Rhinolophus ferrumequinum: one gene and its partners. The protein of the gene in region 1 interacts with the protein of each later gene in a biochemical or structural test. Links are inferred from orthologs where the notes say so. Each region holds a gene or a part of one and is shown on either strand. Other genes may lie near its edges. The genes, in order: E2F1, SETD7, PURA and RBL1.

Region 1 (7,297 bases):
CTGGATGACTCAAATGGGAGGGGGCTACAGAAACTGGTTCATCCAGACCCTGGAAGACCATGCAACTATCAAGGACTGAAGCAAATCGACACAGAATCCTCTCAAAGACATTGACAAAAACCACGTTGTTTTAGGGCAATGCATATATAAACCTTTTGGGTTAAAAAAAAGCACAAAAACCTTTTTTCCTATGATTCAGTTTCTATTATTATAGAATGTATTTCAGAGGTAATCTATGTGTGCAAGGGAGAACCGTGCGGATGGTACTGTTTGAACGTGGAAATAAATGAAAAAGTACAATTTTTGAAATTTTAGAAAACCAGCCATAACCACCTAAAAATAAAAATAGGTTTTAGGAAAACAGAAATAATGGGTGGGACTGGGAGCCTGCCCCCTTCACCTTTCTAGTCTATTTACTTTTTATAGTTATTATGTATTACACTTTTTTTGTTGTTGTTTTAGTAGCCGTAACAATAGAGTAGAGGTAGACAGGAAGGGCCAGGAGAAATGGCTGAATTGCAGAGCCTGTATGCAGGAGGTACTCAATGAATGCTCACTGGTACAGAAGCTGAGCCTATAGCTTTTTTCAGGGACTGCCCCAAACACCTGTGGACAGGTGAAGGCCATAGCTCATGTGGCCAGTGGTTACCCACAGGTACAAGAATTGGGGTTGCTGGAGGGGAAAATCTGGGCCCATTTTTCTGGACTTCAGCTCCAGGATGGTACCAGCTCCCACACCTGCCTGCTCACCTGTAGAAAATGCCCACTAGTGCTTAAGTACTGTGAAGGCAGAGGCCCCTTACTTGCCTTTGTGCCTACTACCTCGTGGGTACTCACTAAGTCAACTGTTAAATGAGTGGAGTGCTCAGGTCCTTTGAGGCTGCCCCGGACACCCCTCGGGGTGGAGTGGAGGGCATCCTTCCTCGACCCAGTCCTTGGCAGTCCCTCTGAACCTGGAGTTCAGCTCCCTGAGGGCAGGACCCAGCCTTGGGCCTGCTGAGTACATGTCAAGTCAGCTAAATGGAGGATATTTGTTCAGACCCCAAGATGGTAGCCGCAGGGTCAGGCCACTGGGGTATACGAGACAAGCCAAGGGACCAGACCCTGGTACAATTCCCACCCCCTCCGTCACTGATTAGGAGGAAGGGCCCCTGGACTTCCTTCAACCTCTCTTAGCATCTCCAGGAAGTAAGGCATCCCAACAGTTAGGTGCTCAGAAAATGTCTATTGGTCCCACCACTCACTAGCTAATGACTAGGGAAGGTTCCAACATCTCTAGGCCTCAGCTTCCCCATCTATAAAAGGGGAAGGCTGTTGAGAGGGTTAAATGAGTTAATTGGGTAAATGCTTGGCACAGAGCCTGACAAAGAAAACATCTCAAAACAATGGTGCTACTATTGTTGTTATTATTATTAGCATCTTGGTGATTCTGGAAGGGAGGAAGCACTGGGCACCGGGCCAAGGGAGTTAAGGGATGCTTCAGGGACCAGCTGCCACCTAGGCCCCCACCAGCAGTTGGGCCGCTTCCACCTCCTTGCCCTAGGCTCTGCCTCACCTCTCCTACTTGTTCCAAGCCTCCTGCTGAGACCCCAGCCTGCCTGTCCGTGCCCCACGTTCACCCACAGAAAAGGCCTGTCAAACTGGTCTCCCCACCCTGCCCTGCAGCCCACAGGTCCAAACTCCATCCTTTCTCCCCATGTAATTCAGCCACCTCTTCTGGCACCCCCAAATCTGAACTGATCTTGAGCCTCTTTTGCTCAAGGAGCACTTTCTCAAGACATCTCCCCAGGATGTTTACTCTCCCCTGGAACTGGAGACCTCTTCTCCAGCTTCCAGAGGCCAAGCCCACCAGTACCTCCACCGGAGCCCAGGGGTCTGCCAGCCTGATTAATGAGGTTCCATGACAACCAGGGCCTGGGAGGGTGGAGGGTGGCAGATGGAAGGACAGGCAGAGGGAGGGGACCAGCAGCTGGCCCAGCCACCCTGCCATTGCAGAGAAGACCTCCCAGCCAGGAGGCCTGTCCCCAGAGGCCCAGAGGCCCAGGGCTGCACCTGGCAGTGGAGCATCCAGATATGAAAAAGGGCCTCCTCAACGGCTCTTCAGCAGTCTGGCCCCAGGATGCCTCACTTCATCTCCCCAAGCTGCCATACCCATTACCTAGCCACAAGATCTGATGTAAAGCCAGCAGGCCTCAGTTAAAACCCCAGTCCCACCACCTGCAGAGGTGTGACCAAGAGGAAGTCACCTCCCCTCTCTGGGCCTCGGTTCAGATAGGCAGTGACACCAAGCTCACAGCAAGGTTGTGAGTTTTAGCTGCCTTGAAGTCGGCCAGAGGCCTGGCATGCAAGCAGCGCCAGTTGAATACACGTGGGCCATTATGATTACTGCGTCTGACCGGCTCCCGTGAGGAAGCTAAAGCCCACAGCAGAGGAGCAAACAGGGACTGGCCCGAGGTCACTCCGCACCCCGGGGAGGGGCCTGGAGACCCAACCCAGTCTGGGCACCGCCCAGCCCCGGCGCCTCAGCCCACCCCTCCCCCGCCCCAGCTGCCTCCCATCCCAAAACCGCGCCCCGCCCGGGTCTGCATGGGGGTCCAAGCAGCACATTCGGCCCAGTGTCCCTGGTGTCCGTACCGGCGGACGGCCGAGCGCGGGGCGCGGCGCGCTGGGTGTGGGCCGGGGCGCCTGCGGCGTGGCGAAGAGCAGCAGGTCGGGGTCGCAGGGACCCGCAGCGGGCGCTGCAGGGCCAGCGGGGGCCGGTGGGGCGCTGGCGTCCTGCGCCGTGGAGATGATGACGATCTGCGAGGAGTCGAGCAGCCGCAGCGCGCCGGCCCCGAGCAGGGCCTCCAGCGCCGGCGCGCATGGGCCGCCCGCGGGGGCCCCGGCCACGGCCATGGCGCTCACGGCCCGGGCGGCCCGGGTGGCAGGCGGCGGCGGCGGCGCGGGCCCATGGCGGCAGGCCGCGGCTAGGGCTTGATCCCGCTCCGGATCCCGCTCCGCCCCCGGCCGCCGCTGCCTGCAAAGTCCCGGCCACTTTTGCGCGCCAAATCCTTTTTGCCGCGAAAGAGCCACGAGCCGCCGAGCGCTGTCACTATTGGCTGTCCGGTCTGTGACGGAGGCGACGGCGACAGTGGCTATTGGGTACAGCGTGCCGGACCGGCAGTGAAGGGCGGGATGGGGCGTCGGTGCGAGTAAGCGCGGCCAATTGCGGGTCGGGGCGCGCGCAGGCTTTGTCGGGGCGGTGCCAAGAGCGTTCACACTCCCCGCCCCCAGGCGGGACTGCCCCTTTGCGAGGCGTGGTGGCCCCCGCTCCCACCTCGACACACCCCACCCGCTGATCTCTCTAGGAGATCTTTAGTACCGAATGTCCATTGTACGCATCTCACCGTCAGCGTACCTTACATGACCCCCAGACACCCTCCACACACCTGTAGCCCCAACGCCCTCAGCCCAGATCTCTAGAAACTGACCCTCTTTTCTAGGGTCTCAGGCCCATTTCCAAAGCCCTAGCCACATCTCCCATCGTCAGCTTGCCCCACTTTTATCATTTACTTTCAAATCCTATGCCCGCCCTATCACCCAGAACCCAAGCAGAAGGGGCCTCTCAGGAAATGGGGAGGGAAGTCTGGCCCATTACAGCTTGAGGTTTTCCTCCGAGCCCTCTTTCATCTTAGTAGCCAAATGCACAGCTTCTGCTTGAACTCATTCATTCATTCATTATTCATTCATTATTATACATTCATTCACCCAAGCGTGCATTCACTCATTCAACAAACGTTTTGAGAGCCTGCTCTGTGCCTCATTCTTAGTTCATACCCTGAAGGGCTCATAGTCTAGTGAACAAGGGAGAGGGAACAGAGAGGTAACACATGTTTGCAATATGATGAAGGATTTCCACCATTAAAATAACTCCATGTTAATCTCACAAAGGGAAGAGGTGAGGATGCTGAGCATGAAAATGTATTTCATAGTCCCTGGGATCTCTCCATCAGCCAATATCATTGCTCCGGTCAGCTGATTTGACCAATATTGTCCTCTGTGCCAGGCCTTGTGCCAGCACTGAAGGCAGAGATGTGTAAGACTTGATAATTTTAATGAACTTGCCTGCCACCTGGTGGGGATGTGCCACACACATAAAAAGTAGCTAAGACACAAACAAGAATCAAAGCGGTAGGCCCAGTATAAACATCACTTCCTCCAGAAAGCCCTCCAGAATTACTTCCTCTATTGCTGGATGCTGCCTCTGTTCCAGCACTGACCACACTCAGTTTCTCCATCTGCCTCCCCTACTAGACTGGGAACTCCAACAGGGCCTGAGCACAGCTGAAGCAGGTGCTGAGAGGAGTTATGAGAAAGGAAACAGGCTGATGATGCCAGAGGCTATTTAGAATGCAACAGGAGGCCCTGGTTCTCCAAGAGCCGTCTTAGGGTCCTGGTTTCAGACTCACCTGGGTGCTTGTTCACTTTGGGCCTAACCCCACCCCCTGCCCATTTAGTATCTCTACGTGCACATTTTCACAAGCAATCCTCCATCCCCATTCCAGGGGGTTTTTATGCACATTCACATTTGAGAACAAATTGGTATACCTGTATAACCAAAATGTGTGGTGATGCCTCAAATTACAGCCTCTTGACGACACTTCTCAGCTTCAGTTCCTCATCTGAGATAGGGATGAAAAGCATAAGGGATCTGAAAATGTTTTATGAACTATAAGGTGGTTCAGGAACACAGGAGTTTCCTAAACAGTTTGTGAAATTACTCACTGCAAATCCTAGACTGTCAGCACTAGGAGGGACCAGAGACTAGTAGCCTCTTGCTGTACAGATGGGAAAGTTGAGGCCCATGAGGGACCTGTAAGCCAGCCAGTGATAGAATTTGGCCTACACTGGATTACCAGCCCTGGGGTCAGCCTGTCCCCCTTCTCCTCCCCAGACAGAAAAGCTACCATTAGAATGGTAGGTCTCATTTGAAAAAATCAAGCCAGACCCTGACAGAGGGTGAGAGAAATCAGCAACATTCCTGTTCCAGATGGACTTTCTTTTCTTTACATCTTCCCAAAGAGTCTCCATAACAATAATATTCACTTCATAAAGCACTCTCATACCCAACAGCCATTCAACGAACATTTATTGAGCACCTGTCACGTGCCAAGCACTATACTGGTTGCTGGAGAAGGAAGACATTGTTATTTTTATCAATTTAATGATGGGGAAACTGAGGCCCAAAGGGCATGAGCTTACCTAGCAGATGAAAAGGCTATTGTTTGGGCTTGGAGAGGCCAAAGCCAGAGGTTTTCCAAAGTCCTGTCCTCCCCAAAATATTCAAGTACACAACCTCCCAGGTAGAAGCAGGTGCCGTCCTTCCCACAATCCTTCCTGTCCTGCTCAGCGGAAAGGAGTGAAGACCAGAATTCCGAGTGTGCAATCAAGGAAGAGATAAGGGCCTTCTGTATTTATTAATACCCACTTGAAAGCAGCAAAGGCCTGACTGATGGGGCCCCTTGGCCCCAAGCCTGGCCAATCTCGATAACGTTGTTCTCTGTGTCAAAAGTTCTCCTCAGGCTGGTAGGTTTTCAAAAAATCCACACTTACTGGGCAGCCACTTTGATTGATGAGCTCCTTTTAACCTGAGAATCCCATAAGTGAAGCTTGTTTATCAACGTTGTGCAGGAAGGAGGCTCAGAGAGGGGCACTTGAAGTTCAAGGTCACACAGCAGAAGTGAGATGGGAACTTAGCCTGTTCCGCTGCAAAACCCAGGGCCTGCTCTTTATACCCCACCACCTTCTGTAAATACCCCAAGAGCCAAGCTCAGGAGGCTCAGGGCTGTCAAGATTATAATGTGTGCTTTCCAAAAGGTATTATAATGTATATTGGCTTAATTAGTAGATGTTTACCCCCATTACTACCTACACCAACTCCTTACTTTAGAGGAGTCCAAAGCGGTGGAAGCTCCTGAGCCCATGATCCTTTGCCTGGAGATATCTTTCCCTTAATTCTTTCCAAGAGGCAGGATGGTGTAAACGTGATAGTATGTGCTTGTAAATCAGGGGGATATAAATAGGAACCTTGGTCTGTGTGACCTTGGACAAGTCAATTCACTTCCTCTGAGCCTCATTCATTCCACAGATATTTGTTGAATACCTCCTATGTGTGAGGCATTATACTAGGTGCTAGGGAGACAGCTGGAAGCAAAACAGACTTATCTCTGATACCTGGAGCTCATAGTCCAGTGGAAGAGTCAGAATTATTTCTATGGACCTGCGCAATATGTTCGTTAAGTCTGACAAATGACACAATAATTCAAAGCTCTTTATTCCACATACATTCTTAGCTTCAGGGGAAAAACAATCTCCGAACATGAACATCCCATCATTATGAATGCATAATTGGGAGAAATTCTGCGGTGACTTAATTTTATTAAGGGGCACAGAGACATCCATTGTTGAGTTCAGGAAGTTTTATGTCTGCAACATCACATTTGTCTCAAATGATCCTTCGTTGCTACACTAAATTCTCTGCTTGACTGACGGTTTACTGTCCCTGGAGATATTGTCACCATGCCAGTTCTGGCTGTATCTGAACACAGACCACTTACCCATCTGATAGGCCGTCTATCATAGGAGTAAGCCTTGGGAGTCAGGCAGACCCCAACTGTGTAGCTTGGCTAGATGACTTTGAGTAAGTGATTTACCCTCTTGAAGAGCTTTGCTTGCCCCATCCGTAGAACAAGGGGCAAAGGCTCCTTTACAGGATGGGTCTCAGGGTTGAATGAGAAAAGAGGACAAACAGAGTTCGCAAACTGGCCAACATGTATGATTTAATTTGCCCACGGAGTATTTTTTTCTGAATTATGAATTAGTTAAGAAAATTTTTAATTTAGAAATGCTATACAAAAATTCAAATATCTGGCTTTCTTTTAAAACCGTAACATCTGGCAATATCATATTTCCCCAAAAATAAGACCTAGCTGAACAATCTGCTCTAATGCGTCTTTTGGAGCAAAAATTAATGTAAGACTCGGTTTTATATTATAATATAATACAAGTGCTTGGCCGTCAGTCGGTCAGTATGTTTAGCGGGATGTGGGCCAGAGAGTCTTATTTTACTATAAGACCGTGTATATTATATTATACCCGGTCTTCTAGTAAAATAAGATCGGGTCTTATGTTAATTTTTGCTCCAAAAGACACATTAGAATTGATTATCTAATTTTGGGGGAAACGGTACTAGCCAGACCATCATGGTGCTGAGCAGTTGCTGTGCCCCATTTCGCCAGAGCCTTGACCCTCCAGGCCA
Region 2 (7,086 bases), on another chromosome or scaffold:
TCCATCAGCATATAATTGACTTCCTTCACCCCTTTCACCCACACTCCCCAACCCCCTTTCCCTCTGGTAATCACTGATCCGTTCTCTGTATCTGTGAGTTTGTTTTTGTTTTACCAGTATAGGTATTAATAGTGATCCCTCTCATTCTCAGGCATATTCTGATTTTGGACAATCATGTATATAGTCACCCTATATAACAGAACATTCCTTGTTTATATAAAGAATGGTGTCTGTTTCTACAAATTAGACAAGCTCAAAAACAACACTGAGATACATTTCTAAAGTTGCTTGTCCACGTTCTACAAGGAGCTTGAGGACCATGGACAACTGGGCTTTCTATTTCTAGGCAGCTTCAAAGGGGAAAGTAGTTTAACCTGGGGAGCACTCCCCATGCTCAAGGGTTTGCATTAAATTTTCACAAGCTCAAGTAGAAGTACCCTTTGAAGAATGAGAGAAAGCCCTGACAACTTGAGAAGAGCATTTTTTCATTTATCTTGCACAACATGAAGGCACAAGAAGTCAATAACTTAAATTGCAAGAAGGCTTTCAATGGACGGACTCCATCAATGTCTTTGGGACCCAGCAAGCCCCAGCACTGGCTTTACTTATTAGAGAATTCACAACATTGTGAAATTAAAACAACAACAAACACTCTTTGAAGATGGACAAAGAAATAAGTTTTAATAGTTACATTATAATGGATACCTTTCAGAGAATTCAGAAATATTATTCTACTTAATCTCATCCTAAGACCTCTGGAGCGCTGCTGAAGAAGAGTCAATTATGTTTTATGAAAACATAAAAATGGATTTCTTTTCCCAATGTAGCCATAATTACGTATCTTTATGTATTTGTACGGTGTTGCTACTTTGTTTCTCTTTACCGTTTATGAGAAATTGTTTATACAAATGAGGTAGAAACGAGATTCAACCAAAAGCTAAAAATTGTTTACTTAGATGCTTAAAGTATTCTGGAATAATACCATACAATATTGCAAAACATCACGACGTACTGTCTGGGTAGAATCAAATAAATAAATACGCTAAAGAGTATCTTCCAGTATTCACTGTTACAAAATCATAACATCTCATGATACAAACAACGAGATTGTATAACGTCCCCACCTCGCTTTTTAGAACTAGCAAAAAAAGAGGTGGAGAAACTCAGCAAAACAAAGTGCGAGAAAAGTCGGGGGAGGGGCGCTAGAAGAGAAGGGGCGGAGAAACACGACACCCAGGCGGTGATATCACCCACAGCCAACTGCATGGAATTCAGAAAGTTAAGTGTCACCCAGCAATGTCGGTCCGGGCTTGCGGCGCGCCTGCACAGCGTGGCGGCGGCCCCCGGCTCGGAAGCAGGAAGGGGGAGGGGGCGGTGTGACTGAGTTCGCTTGGGGACAGCAAAGGGGAGGGCCACCCGCTCCCTGTCTGCGCACGTTCAATCCCCGGGTCGGGAGTATCGTCCCTTGCCCTGCAATGATTTCATCTTTTCGGAGGAGCGGCCGCTCGGGCCGCGGCTGCCACGTGCCAGGTTCGGTACCATGCGCTGCGCGGGCGGTGGGGGGGAGGCCCACCCGGCCGCAGCCGTGGTCACGGTGATTCGCAGGGGCCAGAAGAAGGAAAGGGCTGGCGGCGGGAGAGGGGATCGGGGTTGCCAAAAGCTGGCGGAGGCATTGCTCCGCGGAGACCACGGTTCTCAAAGCACTGTCCTGCTGCGCACCCCCACCTTCCATCCCCGAAAGGGGGAAGAGTGCAGGGCAGGTTTCGAAACTCCTAGGATGGGATGCAGGCTGTGGCCGGCGGGATGGAGCCGCCGTGCCCTACTGGGGACCCCGTCGCCGCGGAGCCCGCTTCCCGGCCTGCGCCCCGCCGCTCCATGCGCGCTCCCGGCTGCGTGGCGGTGGCTGTCCAGCCCCTGCCGGAGCCGGGCCACCCGTGCAGGGTACAGTGGCGGCCGCGGGGCTCGGCGCAGCGCCGCTCACAGCCCTGCACTCCTTCCGCGTTCCGAGCCCTCGGCGCCTCCTCCCCCGGACCCAGAGAAATGTTTGTACCTTCCACCGCCTCCTCCACCATCTCGTCGTCGCTATCCATGGCGCCTGGGGACCCTGCCCAGCTCGGGGCCGCGCGGCTGCCTCCCGTCCCTCCGGGTGCTCGGGCGGCTGGGCGAGCGCTGGGGCTGAACCCTGCGAGTTTGGAGGAGGAGGAAGAGGAGGAGCAGTCGGGGCTGGCTCGCACTGCCTCCCCCTACAGCCCTTTCAATTCCTTGGCCTTCAGCTGCCGCTGCCGCAGCCGACCCCCTTCCCTTCGCCTACTTGCCCCTCTCCTCCGAGGCTCCGGGGTGCCGCCGAGGCCGCCGCCGCCGCAACTTTCTCCTGTAATACCCCCTCTTTGTTAGCGAGCAGCTGATCCGCTGACATCACCCGGAGCCGGTGCGCTCCCTCCCTCGCTGATTGACAGTTCCCTGTCCCTTCCCAGAAGTAAGGCTCCTTAAAACGAAAGGCGCTCGGAGTCCGCGTTGCCTCTGCGCCCCAGCCAACCAGCCCCCGGGCCCATCAGGGTTTCTGCTTGGCTTCTTGGCAGCTCTGTGAGCTCCGAGCGCACCATGCGGTCCTGGGCGCCGCGGGCCTCTCGTGGGCACTTGGGACCACCGGGTACCGACCCTCGGGGGGCCCTGCACTCCTGACCTCCAGCTGTGCCCGGGCAACTTGGAAGTCCATCGCGCGGTGCCCACCAGCCACCAGCCCCCACCCCCACGTCGGGACAGCCTCCAAAGAACAAGGGACGCTGACAGTGTTTCTGACGCTCCTGCGCCTCGACTTCCTCTCGCCCACGTCCTCACTTCACCCCGTTTGCCACCCGGAGCTGCACAAGTGCGGCACGCACGGGAATGCAGGTGTCCCCATGTCGCCGCATCACATACGCGAGCATGTTTCCCAGACTCCAGGGGGTGACATCCAGTCCTGATTCCGCGGGACTGCGGCTCCCACCCCAGCGCATCGCGTTCCCGCCCTCCTCCGGACCGCCAGGCGTCTCGGTGATTCAGAAATTCAAGTCCAAACGGCTGCGGACTCTTTATCAGGCAGGAAACTGGCTGCACGGAAGGCCCGCAGGTTCCTCCTCGCTGTGTGGTCATAGAAAAGGAGCCACCGAGTGGAGCTGATGAGGAAGGACCCTCCGTCTGGTGCGCCTCCTGGCACCTCCCGCACCGTTCCTGTGATGTCCCCAGCTGTTACCCTGTTTCTCCAAGTGCCAACCACTCCATAAATTCAGGCTTTTCAAGCGGACAATATCACGGGGCACCCGATTCCCGGCCCTGCCACTTAGTGTCATTGTGGCGCTGCCTCTTACAGGTGGCATAAAGGGTGGCTGTAAATAGCTGGTTAAATGGATGCAAATGTACACAGTGTACCGTGGAATTACCGGGTGCCGCTCTGGACATCTGCCAAGAACAGCTACTGCGCGAGGGAGGGGCAGGAGGGAGCAAAGAAAGTTGTTTGATTTTGTTTTCCGAACAACGAATGAGGCTTTGAAGATTGCAAAGAACTTCTAGCACCAGGGAGACCGCACCTTGCTTTTGGCTCTGTATTTAAATGCCAGGTATTATGAATTTCTTCTTACATTCAATTTTCCTCTGTGAAGAAAAGAACAGTGGTAGGGACATTTGTCCCATACACTGCCAGGAATTTCAATCCCTTTTGACTGTTTTAGAAAGACAGGGAAGGGTGGTGGATTATGAGTTGGGAGACTGGTGCTGCTCACCTGCTCTGCCAGCCTATTCCTCCCCCAGGAGATAAAAGGCTGAGGCTACACTGGGATAAGATCCCTCTGGCTTGGGCTGGACCACTCAGAGGGCCTCCAGTTTGGTCTACACCTCTCTGAACTCTTCTGGCTTAAGTTGAGCCTCCTTGAAGCCCTCCAGTGCAGATACCTGGGTGCCAAAGCGGCACAGAGGAGGTGTTTCTCGCAGTGGAAGATGGATGCAAGAGCCGCACAGGTCACATCATTTTCACACAGGAACCACAGAAATGGGGTTTTATTTTTGACTGGGGAAAAAAAAAGCCATCATGTACTGAGCTTGGTCACTCACTGGTTTTGAGTTATATGCTATTTTTTTATTTTCCTTTTTTGAACATATCATCTCCTCCCTTATATATTACACTGACATACAAAAACACAGCAGACACACATCTTCCCCAGTTTCCAGTTTATTTTCAGGGGCAAAAAAGAATTTTTTGAAAGCAAACAGGAAGCAAAAATAATTTATTCCTTTACTAAAAGAAGGCTAAGGGAAGGGAAATGTAGGTTGGAAGAAATCTCTCCTGAAAACACACAGGTGAGCCACAGATACACAAGTTCATGGTGGGTGAGTATGTGGGGCTGGAGGCAAGAATCACGTCCTAAATGCCCGGCCCCTATGTCTCGGTTCCAAAGGGTTGTCTAGCCATCCGGTTGGGCCCATGAGGGTTTCCCAGCCTGTACCGCACACCCAAACTGTCAACTGCTTCCTTTCCACCTGCTGCCCTAAGAGCACTGGGAGCCCAGCCTGCATCCCCGAAGCGCGCCTCCTCCGGACCAGTAATGGGTGGGCAAGGGAAGCCGCCAGGGTCTTCCTGCCAGGACAGGCAGTGACGGGGCTGAAAGCTCCGGGAGAACCTCCATCAGATTGCACGTGAGGCAGGCAGCAGCCAACACACAGTCCTGCCTCCTTTAACCCCCATTCATTCCTGCTGGCTCTGGGCCCCAAATTTAGGCAAAATGTTTTTATGACTCCCTGAAGATACATTTGCATTTTTGCAAATCGTTTTAGGTATGTGTTCAATCTCCTTCTCTAGACGGACTGGTTGTTATTTACATCCCTACAGCCCAACACAGTGCCTGGTACAGAATGAGGGTTAGGCAATGTCAGCGGTGATTTTGCAGAGAGGAATATTCTGTTGTAGATAACCAGTGCTGAGTCTCTCTCTCACATACGGGATCCTCTGCCTGTGTTGGCAATGTGCTTTGTTTCAGCTCAAGTCGGAAGAGTTTTTGAGGTGTTCTACTTTCCCACATCTACTGGCCCCAAATCTGCTTCCACCACATTCTTCCCCACAGTTTTCTTCATTGAGAGCTCATTTCATAAGCCCTCTTTCCTCTTGGCTTCCCGCCATTCTCCTCTGTCGTACTCTGTCCCTACCGATGTGGTCCTGGGCTAGAAAATCAATAAAGCTCTTAATCACAGTGGGTAGCTGCAGCAGCTGCGTGGCTCAGGGCCTAACTCAGCAGATCAATGTGCCAGAACCAGCCCTCGCTGGGAGCGCAGGGACCACACAGCACCCCACGTGGGACCTGCTTCCACGCTCACACCTTGGAGTGGCTTTTTCTAAGCTGTCTGGCTTGCTTCCTTTGCACCCAAGGACATATCCCTCCTTTCCACCCTCAGCTTGGGAAACGTAAATCCCTCTTCCACTGCAGCAAGCAATCAAAATACTGAGTTCTTTTATTCATTTTTATCATCCATGTCTTTCCCCAGAGAAGGCGGGGGCTTACTTATAAGATGATATAACTTTTACAGTAAATGTATTTTTATAGGTATCTTGTATTTCATACACTTTCCTACATTTAGGGGAAACCATTCTGTCAATTCACCACTATGCGCACTTGCAAATTGGGAAAAATCTAATGGATGTGGAACTCTGCAGCATTCCCTAGTGCGGGCTGTGCCTGACCCCGCACCCTGCCCTGATGGTAGAGGCTGCGGGGGCCCAGGCAGTCTTCCCAGCCTCCCCGATCCTGGAAGGCAAGGAGCTCTCCAGGTGTCCTGTGGATCTCTGGCTGGTGTCTCCGTTCTGCTTTGCTTGTTTACACTGCTGGCCGGAAGACAAGGACGGAATGAGTGAAAGAACTCTTAGATAATCATAAGAGCTCACGCCTTAACAAAATTTTTTCCCCCACCAAATTCGCCAATTTGATTGAGTTTTCACCCTGTTTGTTTTGATTCCTCCAAGAACTAGCCATGCAACTGGTCAGTGAAGCTCTCTGGACCTTAGTTTTTTCATCTGGAAGTGAGGAAGGAGGTTGGGCTCAAACCTTCTCTGTCCACCTTTCCTGGAGAAAAGCTAAATAGAGCCTGGAGAGTCCCGGGGACATGCACAGGAAAAGGAAAGGGGAAACTACCATACTCAAGTCCCCCAGTCATCTCAATGCGATGGCACTGAGACCTGGGCACCAGGAGGGACTTCATCTTACTCTAGGAAGAGAGGCATGGGCCTTTCAGGAGAGCGACGGTCCTTGGGTTCTGAAGCACTGAGTCACAAATCAAGCGGCTAACTATGTTGGTGACTAGTGCAGAAGCAGGAAGGAGGGGCAGGGAAAGGAGCAGCAAGGAGAAGGGCACGGGGGAGGAGATGTGGATGTAAGAGGCGTTTACAGCTTGTGGAGCCCAGGGGAGCAACGGGGAACAAGGGCACCAAACAAAGGTCCGGGAGCAAAGGAAGAGGTGGAGAAAATACATTCTGCTGGAAATAGACATGACTGCAGTCGTGAAGAGCACTCAGGAATTCAGAGTGACCTGATTTGATTACAGCAACAGGAAGTGCAGGAAAGAGACAGGGCAGAATAACCTGACCTGAGGAAGTGAATTAAATAATAGAGACGACATCAGAGTTGCCATGGCATTAAAATACCTCATGCCACATTAAGCTTCTTTTTTCTCTCTTGCTTGATTCTTGTTCTAGCAACATGTTAATGTCATTATAGTCTAACCAGTAAACTAAATTTAGACACTTCAGGGCATGGAGGAATGGAAGACGCAGCCCAAATCTCCCTGTATGGGTCCACTCCGGGCGAATGTTCTCCGTTCACAGAAGGCCTGGTTCTTTTGGTCTTTGCATGATGGGATATGAAAAGCCTTATCAGGCTGGGGTCTGGTGAAGCTGCTGAGTGATGCAATTTGAAAAACAAAACTGAAAAAATTGGAAACGATTTTTAAAGAGGCCACTGCTTTGGAAACTCAGACAAATCCACAGGATGCAGAAAATTTGAAAAATACAGCTACCATCAAAACCAAATGTGTTTATTTTTAACGTTAGTATTAATTTATTTTTTT
Region 3 (7,086 bases), on another chromosome or scaffold:
TAAAATTTCTGCCATTATATACCAGACCCTGCCCTACTTTTTAAATGTATCTAAAAAGCAAACAAGGCTAATAATACCTTTACCAAAATAATCCAATTATAAATTGAACATTTAGTACATTGTTAAACAAGAGAGTTAATTTCAGGATAAGCCTGTAAATCTGGGCTTTTGGTCAGACTGGGGGCAGGGGTGAAAGGCAGATTTCCCTAGACTATAGAATACAAGAGCCTTAAAAGGCAGTCTGAGAAGAATGAATATTGACTCAGAGAAAGTCTTAAAACAAAAAGTTTAGAACACTAAATAGAATTTCAAAGTTAGATTTGCATCCTAACATTGAAAATCCATTAGAAAATTTGTGGATTTAAAATAACTTCCAACCGTTTGTTAACTTCCTAAACAATATACTAACCTGGTAAATGAAATGCCAGTTCTAGTGTCTAGCTGTTTGAATATATTATTTTAAAACAAACAGTTGTAAAATTAAATGTAAAATTTCAATACAATGTAGAAAACACGAAGAGAAAACGAAAAATATTAATATGCAGCAAAATATTCGTATTAATGAAAAATAAAATATTCCCTTTCTCCTCAAAGTTTGCTTACATTTTTAAACATGATAAATGTCTCTAGATTTCTTGTGCTCTTTTATTAACACTACACACACAATTTGAAGAGAACAGAGATTGCTTTATTGTTAATCCCATTATCTCTATGTCTTTAACAAGCTCTTACCAACAAAAAATTGTTCGCAAGTGAAACAGACATTAGCCAGAACAAGAAGGAAAAACGCCTCAATTTTCCTCAGCCTGTACTACAGGTGATTCTGAAACAATCTAATTCAGCTTTGGTTTTTAAAAGTAAAAATTAGCACACACATTTATAAAATAATCTTGGAGAGAGGAAATCTACCTCTGGGTAATAATAAACCCTTTTGATTATAGTGTTCCCAACAGAAACAATATGCTGATAACATTTCACAAAATCGCAGATTTCCAAAATAAAAGAGAAGCAAGAACATTAGAACTTGTGTTTTCTAGTGCTGCTTAGGTTAAATGCTTGTCTTAAACCAGACAGACAATTATCTTCAATATCCAAATCATTAAAACTAACTGGAATGTAATACTGCAATTGTTCAAAGTGGAGGAATTACCCCTTTCTTCTCATGGCTATCTACCAGGAAAATTAAGGGAAAGTCTCAAGTAAATCTTAACATTTAACAACAACAAAGACTAATAGTAATAATATTTCACAAATCATTTTTTAAACAGCATATCCCCTTTCTATAGCTCACCTAATCTTTTAAATTATGCTTCCTCAATGCTATTTTAATGTTTAGGGTTAAAGATATGAATTAAACATTTAAAATCTGAAGAGAATAATTCATGTGATAGAATCCTCGCATTTCACAAAATGTTTTCATTTTAAGCATTTGTAGAAGAGTTAAATAAACGTAGTACACATTCTAAATTCAATAAAAGATTCAGAAAACCCGACATTTTATGTACCCCAAAGGTCCAAAGCGAACCGATGCAAATGTCAATAGTTTTTTCTCTTCCGGCTGATACTTAAATGGTTTTACTAGTACCCAAAGGAATGAAATCAGCAACTCTCTCCACACTCGAGTCAACACTCTAATTTTCAAAGCCGCAATTCGCAAACGTCAGTTTGGGTGGGGAACAGGGGGGTCTTGAAGTCATCAAAAAATTCCTTTTCTCCTCTGACAGTCTACCAAAAGATGTCAAACCAAATTCAGCCTATTGTAAAGCACTGGGACCTCCCTTCCAAGGACACAGGACACAAACATAGACGCCGCTGCAAAAAGCTGTCCAAAAGCGCCCGGCCCGACAGAAACGTTAAAGGGTCCAGATAAGAACGAAAATTAGAACCCTCAAGAGGGTCCCGCAGAGACAGCGGAAATGAACGTGGCATTTATTCAGGGGTAGACAGCAACGAACCAAAAAAAGTTGCCCCAGTCGGACTCTTGGGCCTTTTTTTAATCCAAGTTCAGGCTCAAAGCAGATGTATTTGTGGGGGGTCCCTTCCCCTACAGACATTTCAGCCACCTCTGGGGCCCACTATCGCTTAACGGGAAGCCCCATCTAGCTTCGCATCCATTCCTTTTGCCCCCGGACAAAGGCAGAGGAGGCTGTTGAGCTGACCTAGCTCTGTGGGGCGGCAAAAATGCCTTGTCCAGGCCACCCATCCTTGGGCCTGGCTTCATCTGCGATGTCAGCATCAATGTATTATTTTTTATTTTTACAAAGCATCCTGGGCGGGTATATGCATTGCGGGAGGGGCGGGGGGTTGAACACAGGAGAGAAGGGGTTGGTAGTGGAGTCTAGAATCCTCCTTCCTCTCCCCTCCTGCCAGGGTTGCTGTGCAGGGAGTGTCGGCCACGTTTGGCGCACTGTCCCAGGCCCCTGGCGAAGGTGGCCAGGGGAAATGAGGCTTAGGGATTGCTAAACAAACGGCACCACTGGTGGTCTCCAGCGCCTGCGGAGGTAGAATTATCTTTTTTTTTTTTAAGGGGCGTGTGATTTTGTTCTTATTTGGAGGTGGGAGGGAGTTCGTCTGTTCGTGCGCTACGGGGTGGGGGGGCGTTACTGCACTGCCAGGGTCCCCGGAGGGAGTGCGGGGATGTCTACAATGATACAGTAATTACTCCTGGGGCGTAAGAGGGCAATTAGAGGGGACGGGGTGGGCGGCACCTGAAGCTGTGGCAGTGGCAGCAGGGAAGGTCGCGAGGGGCTTACCCGGGCGGGCGGGCGCTGTCCTGCCGCAGGTGAGGGAGGGCGCGCGCTGGGCAGGCGCGAGGAAGGGGGGAGGGGAGGAGGGCGCGCGCGCGCACACCTGTCCTGGACAGCGGCGCGAGCCGAGCTGCGCCTCACTCGGGCTCTGCTGGCTGAAGAGGGAGGAGGGCGGGCTGGCAGGCGGGGGCGGGACGCCGAGGGGAGGAGGAGGAGGCGGCTCCGATGGCTGGCTCGGCTCTCGCTCGTTCTCCCTCCCGCGGGCAAGCCCCGCTCACCCCCTGCTTCTCCCGCTCACTCACAGCCCCTTTGGCTCTCCCTCCTCCTCCTCCTTCCCCTGCGGGATCCGCTCGCCGCCACCGTCGCCGCCGCAGACGGCAAGTCGTGGCAGCCAGACGTCGGCGCGTAACCCGGCGCTCCGTGCGTGACTCCGGGCGACGTCAGCGCGCGCTCAGCGCTACCCACCATTTTCCCCCCCACCCTCCCTCCGTGGCTCGCGCCCTCCGCCCTCGCGTCCCTCCGTTTCAGTTGCCGCGGCGGCGGCCGCCGAGCGCGCTCCCTCCGCCCCCATCTCGCGCGTGCGCGCGTCCTCTCCGCCGTTGGCGCGTCAACAGCCAGCGGCCCAGGCCTTGAGGCGCGTCTGAGGAGGGGGCTGCCTGCAGCTCTCTCAGCGCGCACTTCCTCCACCCGCAGCCGGTAGCGGCCCCTGGAGGACTTATCCCTCCTTGGGCCTTGAAGGCCAAAGTCAAGCTCAGGCGGGGATAGGACCCTGTAGGGCCTGCGTCAGCTCCAATTTAGGGCCCTTAGCGTCGTTGTCGTTGCCGTTACCGCCGCGTCACACTAACCCTACCCCCTCCCCCGTCCCCCGCTCCTCCCTCCCACCCGCGTTCCGCCAGCATATCAGGAGGCAATAGGCTTTTCATCTCCCGCGAAGGTCTCACCTTGGTCTTCAGACGTCTGTCGAGAGGGGCTAGAAGGGCATAATTAGCATAAAGAAGAAAGTGGCTAGACCTCGTTCAGGCTCTAGCCCCAGGAATCCTTGACAGGAAGCGTGGGGTTGCTGCCCAGCCTCCCACGCAGTGTAGGTGAAACTGGGCCCCTTTGAGGGACTGCGACTAAGGACAAAACCCTGATAAATATTATTGATGCGCCCTTGGGCTGACAGGGAGAAAGTAAAAGGGACGAGTTAATTTTCATAAATTATGCAAAGGTGAAATGCAGAACTATAAAATGCCGTTTAAGAGTTGTCTTGAAATCTTACCAAGTTTGACAAGATTTTGGTGCACGGTAACTTTTTTCCTCGCTTTATATGCTGTTACATCTCCATCCTGCAAGACTGTGAACATAGAAGGTGGATCAGTTAAAAATTATCGGCTGCAAAATAAATAGAAAACTGCCTTCACCATCTTTATCATTTAAAAAATGTCAGAGGAGTCAATCTGTGATTTAGGAAAACTTAATCACTGTCCCAACTTACTTAACTGAGTATATTTTATTTTGAAGTTTCTTTTCAATACACCGTTAAGATACACTTTTATTAGGCAATAGTAGACTTTTAAACTTATTTATAGGCTCTTTCCCAAGAAGCCTACCTAGTTAAGCCTGGGAGGCAAGTAGGAGAAAAGTGAAATTAACCCCATTTTATAGATGAGAAAATTGAGTTACAAAAATATAAGTCAGTTGTTCAGAGTTGCAAGGAGTCTGTAACTGATAGAGGGAAAAACACCTTAGGTTTATTATCACCTACTTCATCCACTAAACCAGAAATCCCCAATTGTTTATTTCCAGGTATCTTTTGAGGCTCCCCCAACCCCCTCAATGAATGGTAGGCAGTGCCTAATATCTGAGAGAAACAAATTCTCACCCTAGCTAGAGGTGAGAAAATTTTTGAGAAGGGCTTAAGAATGATGGGTCATTTCCTTTGAATTGCTTCTTCATTCACCTCATCTTTAGGTGGCAGCACTACTATATAATATCTTTAAAACTACAGTCTTCTGCAACTTGATATCCTAAAGAGTGTTTTGTCTTAAATGCTTCCAACTAAATTTTGGAGATTAGAAGCTGGTGAAAATACGAAATCATATCTGAGAATTAGAATACTTAGGAGGTTCTAGAGGAGGAATAGAAAGGCTTTCAGAGAAATTATTATTAATAAAATACATGGAGCTGCTGAGGGAAAAGATAAATCCCCCCCAAAAAAAGCCTTTTCTAGCTGTATGAAGAGCAAGTAGCATCTTTACTATAAATCTGATCTCTTATTGAAACAGCACAAGATAACCAAGCTGCAGTTTCTCAATACTGCGTATTTATCAAGCATTTACAAGTTTAAAGTTGCTAGTTGTGTAGTTACCAGTACTCTAACTACAATTTTAAAATTTGTGTGCAGTTTTCCTCATTAAACTGCATCAAGCTTATGAAGATCCCAAATAGGATCTTATTGTTGACCCTTGTGGAAAAGGACTCTTCTTGGCTCCTTTCCTCACTTCCTAAATTGTTTATATGCAAAGTAAACCATCACTCAAACTCAGAAAAGTGAGAAGACAAGCTAAACCAAATGTAAGATGATAGCAATTTATAGATATTCTATATCTCAATTTCACATTTCTTGAGGATAATAAATTGTGATACATGGGGGTTATTTGGTTCAAATGTTTTCTAAGTAGAACTTTGTCATAACTAATTTTGTATATTTACAGCAGTTATCAATGTGCCCCTTTATCCAAGCAACCAAACAGAATTGAATTTCAAAATAGACTTCATTATATTTACAGCATAAACATAACCATCAAGGAATATAGAAGTATGACCATCCGGAGTGGGAAATCAAATTATATCTGGATAGAGGGTGAAGTCTTTATAAAGTCTTGATGTCAGCTTCCGTCTTTCTTGAGTCAAATTTGGAAAAGGAGTCTCAAGTAAATTGGTAGAACTCAAACTCAGCAGTGTTATGTTAAGATTTTAAAGCTCTCTGGTGCCAGCAAATCATGCAGCCTGTGGGCCTTGGATCCAAACTTCTGCCAACTCCATTTTGGCAGTAAAGTATTCTGTTGAACAAAGTTTGCACGTGTTTGGGGTGTGAAGTGGTTCCTCAGGCATTTATGTGGTTTTATTCCAGTTTGGGGATTTGAGCACGAGGATCAGGAGCATGAGACTTGTATAGTTCGTATGTGCCCTGAAACAGACTATACTAGTGATCTTGAATTTTCACTTAAACGCGGACAGCATTTTCTTTATTGGTGTAGGAGTTACTGAAGTGATCCTTTAGTTTACTCGTTAAATGCTAACATGATGTTGCACCAATTCTCAAAAGCAAGTAAGTAGGACCCTCTCTCCTGAGGGTATAGAGCTGTGGAAAATCACTCCTCATCTTCCTACCCACAATACCACCTAAATGTGTTTATCCAGATGGAACTCACTAAATAATAATACCCAACTTGAGAGCAAAGGAGCCACTAATTATTAAAACTTGATCTTATTTTCAGATTTTATATAACTATGAGTCTTTTATCTTTTTTGGTATCAGTTGTCTGACTTCTTTTTTAACCACCTCCTCCCATCCTGAAGTAATTTGGCTAAGAAACAACACTGGCCAGATGTATGGACTGATTTGTCTTATTTCAGGGGTCCCTCTTCCTGAGGGAAACATATACAGTCTCAATTTCCATTTATTTTGGGGAGAGATCACAGAATAAGAATTTATTATCAGAGCACCGGTGGTCTGAGAAGGCAGTGAGTTAACACCTCCAAAAACTGCCTTAATATCCTTTTTTTTTCCTTCAAGTAATTCTAATAGAAAATCCTTGCATAATCTGGGGTAACACAGTTTGAAAACCATTAAAGTGCTTTTGTAGCAATGTTTTGGAGTTTTGGCTTTTATTTTCCTGGTTTATGAGTAATGGCATGAAAACAAGTGCAAAAGTAACAGACGTTGATACGATACCACTGTCTTAACTTCAACAATGATCAGTGGAATGTCAATTTATAGCACGGCATGGTGATTTGAAAATGGTAGTTATTCTTGATATTTTTGCCAAGAGTGTGGCCTAAATTCTTATTTGTGCCTTTCCATTTTCTTTCCTTCTCTTTAAAAGTAATTCCCAAGTCACAGCTAATATATGGATGAGGTTAGAGATGGAAAGGAAAGCTCGGCCTTCCCAAAGAGTAGATCTATCTGGACTGGAAAATATTATTGAATGTTGTTGCATATTGGTATGGTGACTCCCAAATTCCTTTGATTGCTTTCTTTAGAATATCAGTTGTATTGTCACTTCACTACCTGGAGGCAGAATACATACATACGTAAGTCTTAAACTGGTGCAAAAGTAATTGTGATTTTTGC
Region 4 (7,382 bases), about 2.5 Mb from region 1:
GGGGAATCGAACCCACAACCCTGTTGTTCAGAACTCATGCTCTAACCAACTGAGCCATCTGGCTGCCCCCCTTTCTACCATTTTAGTTTTATGTTTCTTTTTTAACCAGTTTGGCAGAGAAAGGTAAGAACAGAATGGAATGATGACAAGGGAATCACACATAAAATATTAATCCTATCTTGCACAACATAAAAGACACTCATTTTTATGAGGTAAAAATTGGGGAAATTATTTACCCCAATCTTTAAAATGTTATAGTAAGTATAGATGTCTATCTTAGCAGATATCTCAATTTACAATGCTACAAAAAAAGGTGACATTTGGGAATTGAACACTTAATCCTCTGACATAGACTGGAGATATCTCCAAGCTAGAATCACTTCATGACTTCACTGCTGAACTATACGTGAAATTTAAGAGTTAGACACAAATCTCAGAGTAACAAATAACTGCTCCTATTACTGTTCCACAGATCCTCTTTAAGACTAGACTCTAGAAGGATAAAAAGATTGATAGATTTCTTGCAATAATCCGAAAGGGGTGGACAGAAATGGGTGGCCGCCAATAAAGTTAAACTAAAACCCAGTGTTCCTACATTAAAGTAGTGAGAAGTCTTATTTGCTCAAGGCATTAAATGAGGCAGGTAGTCTTAAGGCTGTATATTTTTAGAATCCTTGAGTAATGAATTATTTGGAACCAGTATCCAAGAATTATAGAGCCTTTGGATACACGCTACTAGATGAAAACAACATTAAGATAAAGAATATTTAAGTACTGGAATTACTTTTTCCCTATATTATTTATTCTAATTCCTTGATGCTAGATCTTAGAAATACAAACAGTTTCTGACCTCAGGGAACTCCAAGTCTAGAGCCAAGAAGAACAGATATTATTATCTATTATTGGTCAGATAGATGCTGTAAGAAATGAAAATAACGTGTTGTGGGAAAATACAGTGTAGTGAGTATAATTTTGACTAGAGGTCAGGGGAGGATTCACAGAGGGAGACTTAAAATTGGTAAGTGGTAAATCACCAAAATGTAAGGAGAGCAGGGGAAGAGCAAGGGAAAATGTATGCAGGAGATGGTCAGGTGGACTAGAGAGGCGTAGGGGCTGCAGGGAAGGGTTCTTACGAAGCAGCAGATATATGAAGATGCCTACTGCAAGAGTCTTCACCATAAAACAAACAAAAATGAAAAAAGAGAAAATAAAACACTGTGGATAGAATCAACACTCATGAAATCTTAATTCACACATATGGGCTTTCTAAATCGAAAATTTAAGAGGTCCTGATCAACTCTGCCTAACTGGAGATCTAGCTGTTCAATCTTCCCTGGAGTTGTGAGTGAGGGAAGTTTCCCAGTACAGGGAATGGCACGGAGAAAGCACACAAGTGGGAACGAGCTTGGCATATTCAAGAATCTGAAAGAGGTGCCTAGTTTAATGGCCTGACTACAGTTGGCACTCAGTAAAAGCTTATTCACTAAGAGACTAAGTGAGGACCTGGGATGTCAGAGATGCTTTCTCGGGCTTTTAAAAATCAGTTGTTTTCATTGAGACAATAATTCATAACCTTCCTTACTTTCTTATTCTTTCCCCAGCTTTCCAGTCACGTTCCCCATGGATGCAGATCACTGTCTTTTACCCAGTATATCTAGAGCTACTATGGAGACATCCAAGAGTCTTGGGTACTTTTCCCTTATATATAGACACGTACACTCAACTCCAAATTTCCAACTCTGCCTTTAAATCCATCAATTAATTATTTCACTGGGTGGTGAGTCAGTGGAGCACTCTACCTTTTGAGTCCGGCCCCCTAGGATCATGAAAGCCTTTGAATATAAGGCCACTGGATTCATTGCTGAAATACACTCAATCACAATTCTATCTGTACACTGGGCTTATGCTTGCCTTAATATTATTACCTGGAAAACAGGTGTAACACTCCTTTGCCATGTTCACAGGGCTATCGTGAGGACTAAACCCAAGAATGACTAGGAAAAATCTAATAATGATTGTCTACATTTATTTTATGTCATGGCCTGATATTGTGCGAAAGCATCAGGATAATCTAAGTATCCCCATCTGAGAGAGGAGGAACCTGGAGCTGAGAGGTAGCACTGTATGAATGCACATTGGTTTCAAAGTGAGTAACCCACACTTCCGCCCTAGGGAGGCGTAAGGGTGGAGAGGTTAAATGGCTCGGACTCCTTAGTCTGGCTCCACCACTAACCACGTGACCTTGGGCAAGTAACTTAACCTCTTTGGAGCTCAGCTTCTCATTGAGAGAATGGGGATCACAGAACGGGTTCAAGAGGTTGTAGCCAGAACTAAGTGAGATGACATACTTAAAGCGCTGGGCAGTGATGTCTTGGCACACAATTCATTTTAGCTTTTCTCATTATAGTATTTGGTTTTGTAATAGATTTAAACGCAGTAACGTGACGTTTGTGGCGCTTGGCAGGACGGGGGGAAGTCTGGTGTGGAGTCTATGGGACCCCCTGAGTGGCGTGTGACCTTGGGCAAACCCCTCCTTTTCCGGACTTCAGTTTCCCGCCTCACAAAAAAAAAAAAAAAAGGATAGCATGATCTGCACTCGCCCTTCCAGCTTCGCACTCTGCAGCGCCCGGCTGGGCGGCGACCCTTCTCGGTGGGGAAACTCCCACCGCCCCATAGGGTAGGGTAGGGTAGGGGCGGGGCGGAGGTGGGGCCTGGCGAGGGTCGAGCCCCGCCGTCCCACCTGCCGCCGCTCACCTCTAGGCTGTAGTTGCCCCGGATGGCGGTGAAGTCGTCCAGGGCTTCGGCCGCGCTTCCCTCGTCCAGGTTCAGCTCCTGGCACAGGGCCTGCAGCGCCTCCCCGGCCGCGGCGACCACCGTCGCCCCCTCCGCGTGGGGATTGTTCTGGAACATCCCCTCAGGCCCGGCGGGCGGCGCGATCACAGCCCCCGGCTCCTTTCTCCCTCTTGGGCGCCCTACCCACAACTACCCGCGCCAAAGCGCGCGAAAATCGGCCGTTTTAGAGCGACGTCTCTACGATAGTCTGCATCCGCGTTCTAGCCGAAAAAGTCCGTCTCTCCTCCAGGGCTCCCAGCGGTCCCTCTCAGGAAATGTGATTAGAAGACGGACCTCGGGTGCTGAAAAAAACCTGGTCTTGGCCCTCGGCAGGCAGCTGTGGGCACAGCTGGCAGGACAAATTGGGAGCGGAGGGATCAGCAGTCCGCGCGCAGAGTCTGTTGGGAGTTGTAGTCCATATGCTACCTCGAAGCCCGCGGCGCCACTCTTGTCTCCGCGGCTCTTGGGTGTGGGATAGGGCTGGGGCTATTACTAGGTGGCCTTGTTCATCTTAGGAAGAAGGCTCCTCTGTCCCGCCAACGCATGGGCCTGGTTTGTTACTGCTCTGCGGCGCCAAACAGTCTGAGACTTACCCCTTGTGTTAGAGATGGAGTAGGGAACCGAAAAAAGTGGTCCCTTGACAGCGGGGGAGTAGGGGGTGGGAATGGGGGGCTCGTTGGAGTCTCCTCAGTGACTCCAGCGCCCAGCGAGTGGTCTGTTGAATGACTGAAGGGTTGATGAGGCAAGGATGGTCGGAGACACCTCGCCATGTCTTGATCGCTAAATGAGGCTTGATCTGGACTAAGAGAAATGCAGTAAGGGGGACCTTTCTCAGCTCCCTGGGCCCTGGGAACCGTCCTGGTAAAGACAGTCTTTCCAGTATTAGGAATGGCCTGAGCATAAGCCTGAAGGCGTGGAACTGGTCTTGAAGCTTACCCTCTGCTCCACCAAAACCCCCTCTTCATGAAGAGCCCGAGTGATCTTTTTAAAGGTAAATCAGAGCACGTTAGTCCTTCACTCAAAATTCTTCAATAGGTTTGTCTTGCCTTTAAAATATCCAGGCTCCTTTGTATGGCCACAAGGCCCCATGTGATTTGGCCTCATTCATGTTCTCCGCTCCCTTCCCAGGTATGTAATAAGGTCCAACCTCACTGCTTTGTTTTGGAACCTTGAAAATGCCAAGCTACCAAGCTAAGTTCTTACGTTAAGGCCTTTGTCACACACTGATCAAACAGCCCCAGATACTCTACACCAGATCTTTGCTTGTCTGGCTTCTCCTCATTCAAGTTCAACTATTAATTGTGGCCTTCTCAGGCCATCTCTGAGCACCGTACCTAAAATAGCTGACCCTATCTCCAACCCCATTTGTCTTCATTGTACCTTATCACTATCTGAAATTATCTTGTGTATTCACTGGCTCTTCCTACTCAAATGTGAGTTGCATGAGAGCAGGGGCCTTCCTTTCATATTCACTATATTCCGAAGTTTAGACTAGCGCCTGGCTGGTAGTTGGTACTCAATACTTAGCATGTTGTATTTGAGAAATTACAAAGAGCCCATTGTTGCTTGGATGAGGGAAGAGGTCACCAGAGATGGAAATGGGACAGGGCAAGGTAGGTTGCAAAGCCCCTCATATGCTCCACTAAAAGCCTGGACATTATCAGTGAAGGTTTTAATGAAAGGTGATGATGAATGGTCGGTGTTTTGGACAGGTTCCTCTGGCTGCGGTGTGACACATGGATTGGGTGGGGTAGAGACTAGAGGTATGGAGATGGCAGAGGACTGGTCCAGTATACGCAGGAGCCAACCTGGAGACAGGTCTCTGGCCTAGAACTGAAGGGGGGCACTGCTGAAGAGGAAGGAGCCCCTGTAACACGTTTCCATCTGGGCCAAGAGGGTGAAAGGTGATGCTGTGAACTATAATGAGAGTGTAAGCAGAGGGATCAGACCAATTCTAGAACTGCTGTGTTTATGCTGCGTGCGGGAAGTTTAAGGAGAGACTGTTGGACTCTGGAAGGTGGCCCTTTGGGACTAGGGAACCAGCTGCAAGCTGGGTCTCCAATGAGTAAAAACTCAAACTCCCCCCAAAAACTCAAACTCAAACCCAACCACCCATGTGGCACGTCCAACTCTGCTCCCTTCTAGAAGCTACTGCAGTTGACTGTAGGACCATCTCATATTCTCTTGTCACATAGTGTCTGTAACAGACTCTCCTATGAGTTTTTGCTTAGAGGATTGGTTATGGGCAGTTGTAGGGAGGTCTATCTCCAGTGCCCAGGGGTCTGTAACGGGTTATCAATCCTCCTAACTTCCTTTCCGATCAGCAAAGAGATGTCAGGATTAGTGCAGGTGAGATGGATGCAAGTCCTCCTGCAGTGGTTCATTTGTTTCCTAATAAACCTACTGTACTTATTTAAGAAAGCATTCCAGGAGTGGGGACACAGACTAGACAGGGAGATTTTGGGAATATTCAGGCAGTACATGAAGCGAAGGGAGCAGGTTCGTATGAGGGAGTGTGATGGCATGAGAAAAGACTTAAGGGTGGAATTCAGAGATGGGCAGAATTTGGGGAGAAAATTTAAAAAAACCTGGCCAGAGAGGTATAAAAACAAGAGCAGTATTTCAGAGGTCAGGAAATAAGTCCAACATTGCAGAGAATTCACATAGGATGAGGAATTCAAAGACCTCATATATTATCATTCATATATTTTTAGTGACCTTTGCCAGAGCAGTTTTCTTTAGCCCACTGGGGCTGGAAGCCGTATTACTATCGCCAAGAGGCTAAGGGGAGGAAGGTCAGAAAGTTGAAGCAGGAAGTAAAAACTTCTCTTTAAGAAGTTTGGTGGAGGAGAGGCAAAGGGAAGGGTATTTTCTAGGATGGGGAAACACAAAAAAATGAGTCTTCCGTATGCAATCCTGGCTTTCACAGCGGGTCGTGGACAAGATCACAAGAGTTAAGAAGCCTCAGGTTTTTTTGCCTTTGCCATAACTAATCAATCTCTCTCTCTCTCTTTTTTTTTTTTTTCCAGATTTGAACTGCAGAGGGTGATTCTGGCCTTGAAAAGAAACCAATACAAAAGGAAATAGCTGTCAGGGATTATAAACCAACAAAACCAGGGACTCATCGCCCCATTTTTCATCTCTCTAAAGAGATGGTTTGGATTTCAGTGAGTTGCTGTATATGTATTATAGCCCATTTCTTCTCTGCTATTAGATTTCATCCTCCTGATTCTTTTCCCAGTTCACGCATACTAACTCCTAAAAAACATTTCTTCATTCCACAAATGTTTATTGAGTGCCTCCTGTGTGCAAGATACTGATTCTTCCTTTGCTGTTACTTTCAGATCATCCAGATACAAACTGAGGGGCATGGCTGGCTTGAAAATGATCCAAGAACAAAAGAAACAAACACCTCTCAAAGGTCATCCACCAAACAAACAAAAACTGAGAAACATTAAACATTATTCTTTTTTCTTCTCTTCCGGGCTGAATCTGGACTCTCAACTTGGACTTTGAATAAGTCATATCCTGTCTATGTAAAGTCTTGCATTTTCATCTCCCATCTCTTGATTCACCTGACCTGTTACCCTTTACATCCAATCACTTGCTTCTGTGGTTTTTTCCTTTTGCCATGTCGTCATTCTCAGACTGTCCTGAATTGAATTATTAGAAAGTATAGGCCTTGGAAGTGAAGCCAAAATAAAAGGAAAATACTCCTGAGTTCCCTTATTTCCTTTAAAGCAGAATTAAACAGTACTGGCTTCCTGCCCCCGCCCCCCTTTGGATGCTACCTGAACAATGTCATTAGTTTTCAATAAACAGTACTGCTACACTCACCAAAAAAAAAAAAAAAAACCCAGCCCATGCTGTCCTCTGTGTTATCACTGACACCCCGTTCCTTCATCCTCTACACTAAATCTTGTGGATTCCTCCTCCACCAGGTTTCTAGCTGTCTCAACATTTTATGTTTTCTCTTCCAACCCATTTTATATTTAGTTACTACTCTAGTTTTTCTCAAGCAGCATTTCTAGCATGTCACTTTCTCAAGACTCTTCAGGGGTTCATTATTACCAGTGCAATCAAATTTAGGCAGCTTAGCATTGAGGACACATCTGTCAGAGCCAGCCTCACTTGCATGCTTTCTTGTTTTCCTTTGGCCCTACCTTTTTTATCAGGGTTCACGTTGGTTTTTTTTTTCTTCTTAACATCCAGTGGCATGCCCATTTAGCACTAAGCTGAGCTTTTTTGACTAGAAAATGAAGTATGGGTAGTGAAATAGATTTTACTCTGCCTTCATGTCTGATCTAGATACATCACGAAGGTTGTTTCTATTTTGATCTCATTGTGTGATCCCTTCTATGATTAACCTCCCTATTGTGGTTTACTATTTCAGAGTTCCCCAGGGCCTGTATCCAGAACCTGATTAAGACTTTTTGAGACTCCAAGACTAAAAAGATTATACTGTACACTCTCCCAAATGTAATGCAAAATATAAACAATTCTCAACAAAATAAGTGTAAGAAAGTCCTCAAAATTTTCTCGACATGGCT

Evidence for each region.
Region 2: of the proteins of E2F1 (region 1) and SETD7, one has a biochemical effect on the other in vitro, tested with the Homo sapiens proteins (3 studies listed by BioGRID). The link is inferred for Rhinolophus ferrumequinum from reciprocal best matches to the Homo sapiens genes E2F1 and SETD7.
Region 3: the proteins of E2F1 (region 1) and PURA form a complex in vitro, tested with the Homo sapiens proteins (2 studies listed by BioGRID). The link is inferred for Rhinolophus ferrumequinum from reciprocal best matches to the Homo sapiens genes E2F1 and PURA.
Region 4: the proteins of E2F1 (region 1) and RBL1 form a complex in vitro, tested with the Homo sapiens proteins (2 studies listed by BioGRID). The link is inferred for Rhinolophus ferrumequinum from reciprocal best matches to the Homo sapiens genes E2F1 and RBL1.

What each region holds. Positions count from the first base shown.
Region 1 is NC_046306.1:21,284,116-21,291,412, reverse strand, and holds the start of E2F1 (transcription factor E2F1), read right to left. Parts: upstream 3,042-7,297; 5' UTR 2,896-3,041; coding exon 2,635-2,895; intron 1-2,634. UniProt on the Homo sapiens protein: Transcription activator that binds DNA cooperatively with DP proteins through the E2 recognition site, 5'-TTTC[CG]CGC-3' found in the promoter region of a number of genes whose products are involved in cell cycle regulation or in DNA replication.
Region 2 is NC_046301.1:15,387,243-15,394,328, forward strand, and holds the start of SETD7 (histone-lysine N-methyltransferase SETD7), read right to left. Parts: upstream 3,095-7,086; 5' UTR 2,954-3,094; coding exon 2,920-2,953; intron 2,902-2,919; exon of another isoform or gene 2,883-2,901; intron 2,864-2,882; exon of another isoform or gene 2,312-2,863; intron 2,183-2,311; coding exon 2,051-2,182; intron 1-2,050. UniProt on the Homo sapiens protein: Histone methyltransferase that specifically monomethylates 'Lys-4' of histone H3. H3 'Lys-4' methylation represents a specific tag for epigenetic transcriptional activation.
Region 3 is NC_046307.1:14,771,989-14,779,074, reverse strand, and holds the start of PURA (transcriptional activator protein Pur-alpha), read right to left. Parts: upstream 3,143-7,086; 5' UTR 2,754-3,142; intron 1-2,753. UniProt on the Homo sapiens protein: This is a probable transcription activator that specifically binds the purine-rich single strand of the PUR element located upstream of the MYC gene. May play a role in the initiation of DNA replication and in recombination.
Region 4 is NC_046306.1:18,788,235-18,795,616, reverse strand, and holds the start of RBL1 (retinoblastoma-like protein 1), read right to left. Parts: upstream 3,038-7,382; 5' UTR 2,911-3,037; coding exon 2,755-2,910; intron 1-2,754. UniProt on the Homo sapiens protein: Key regulator of entry into cell division. Directly involved in heterochromatin formation by maintaining overall chromatin structure and, in particular, that of constitutive heterochromatin by stabilizing histone methylation.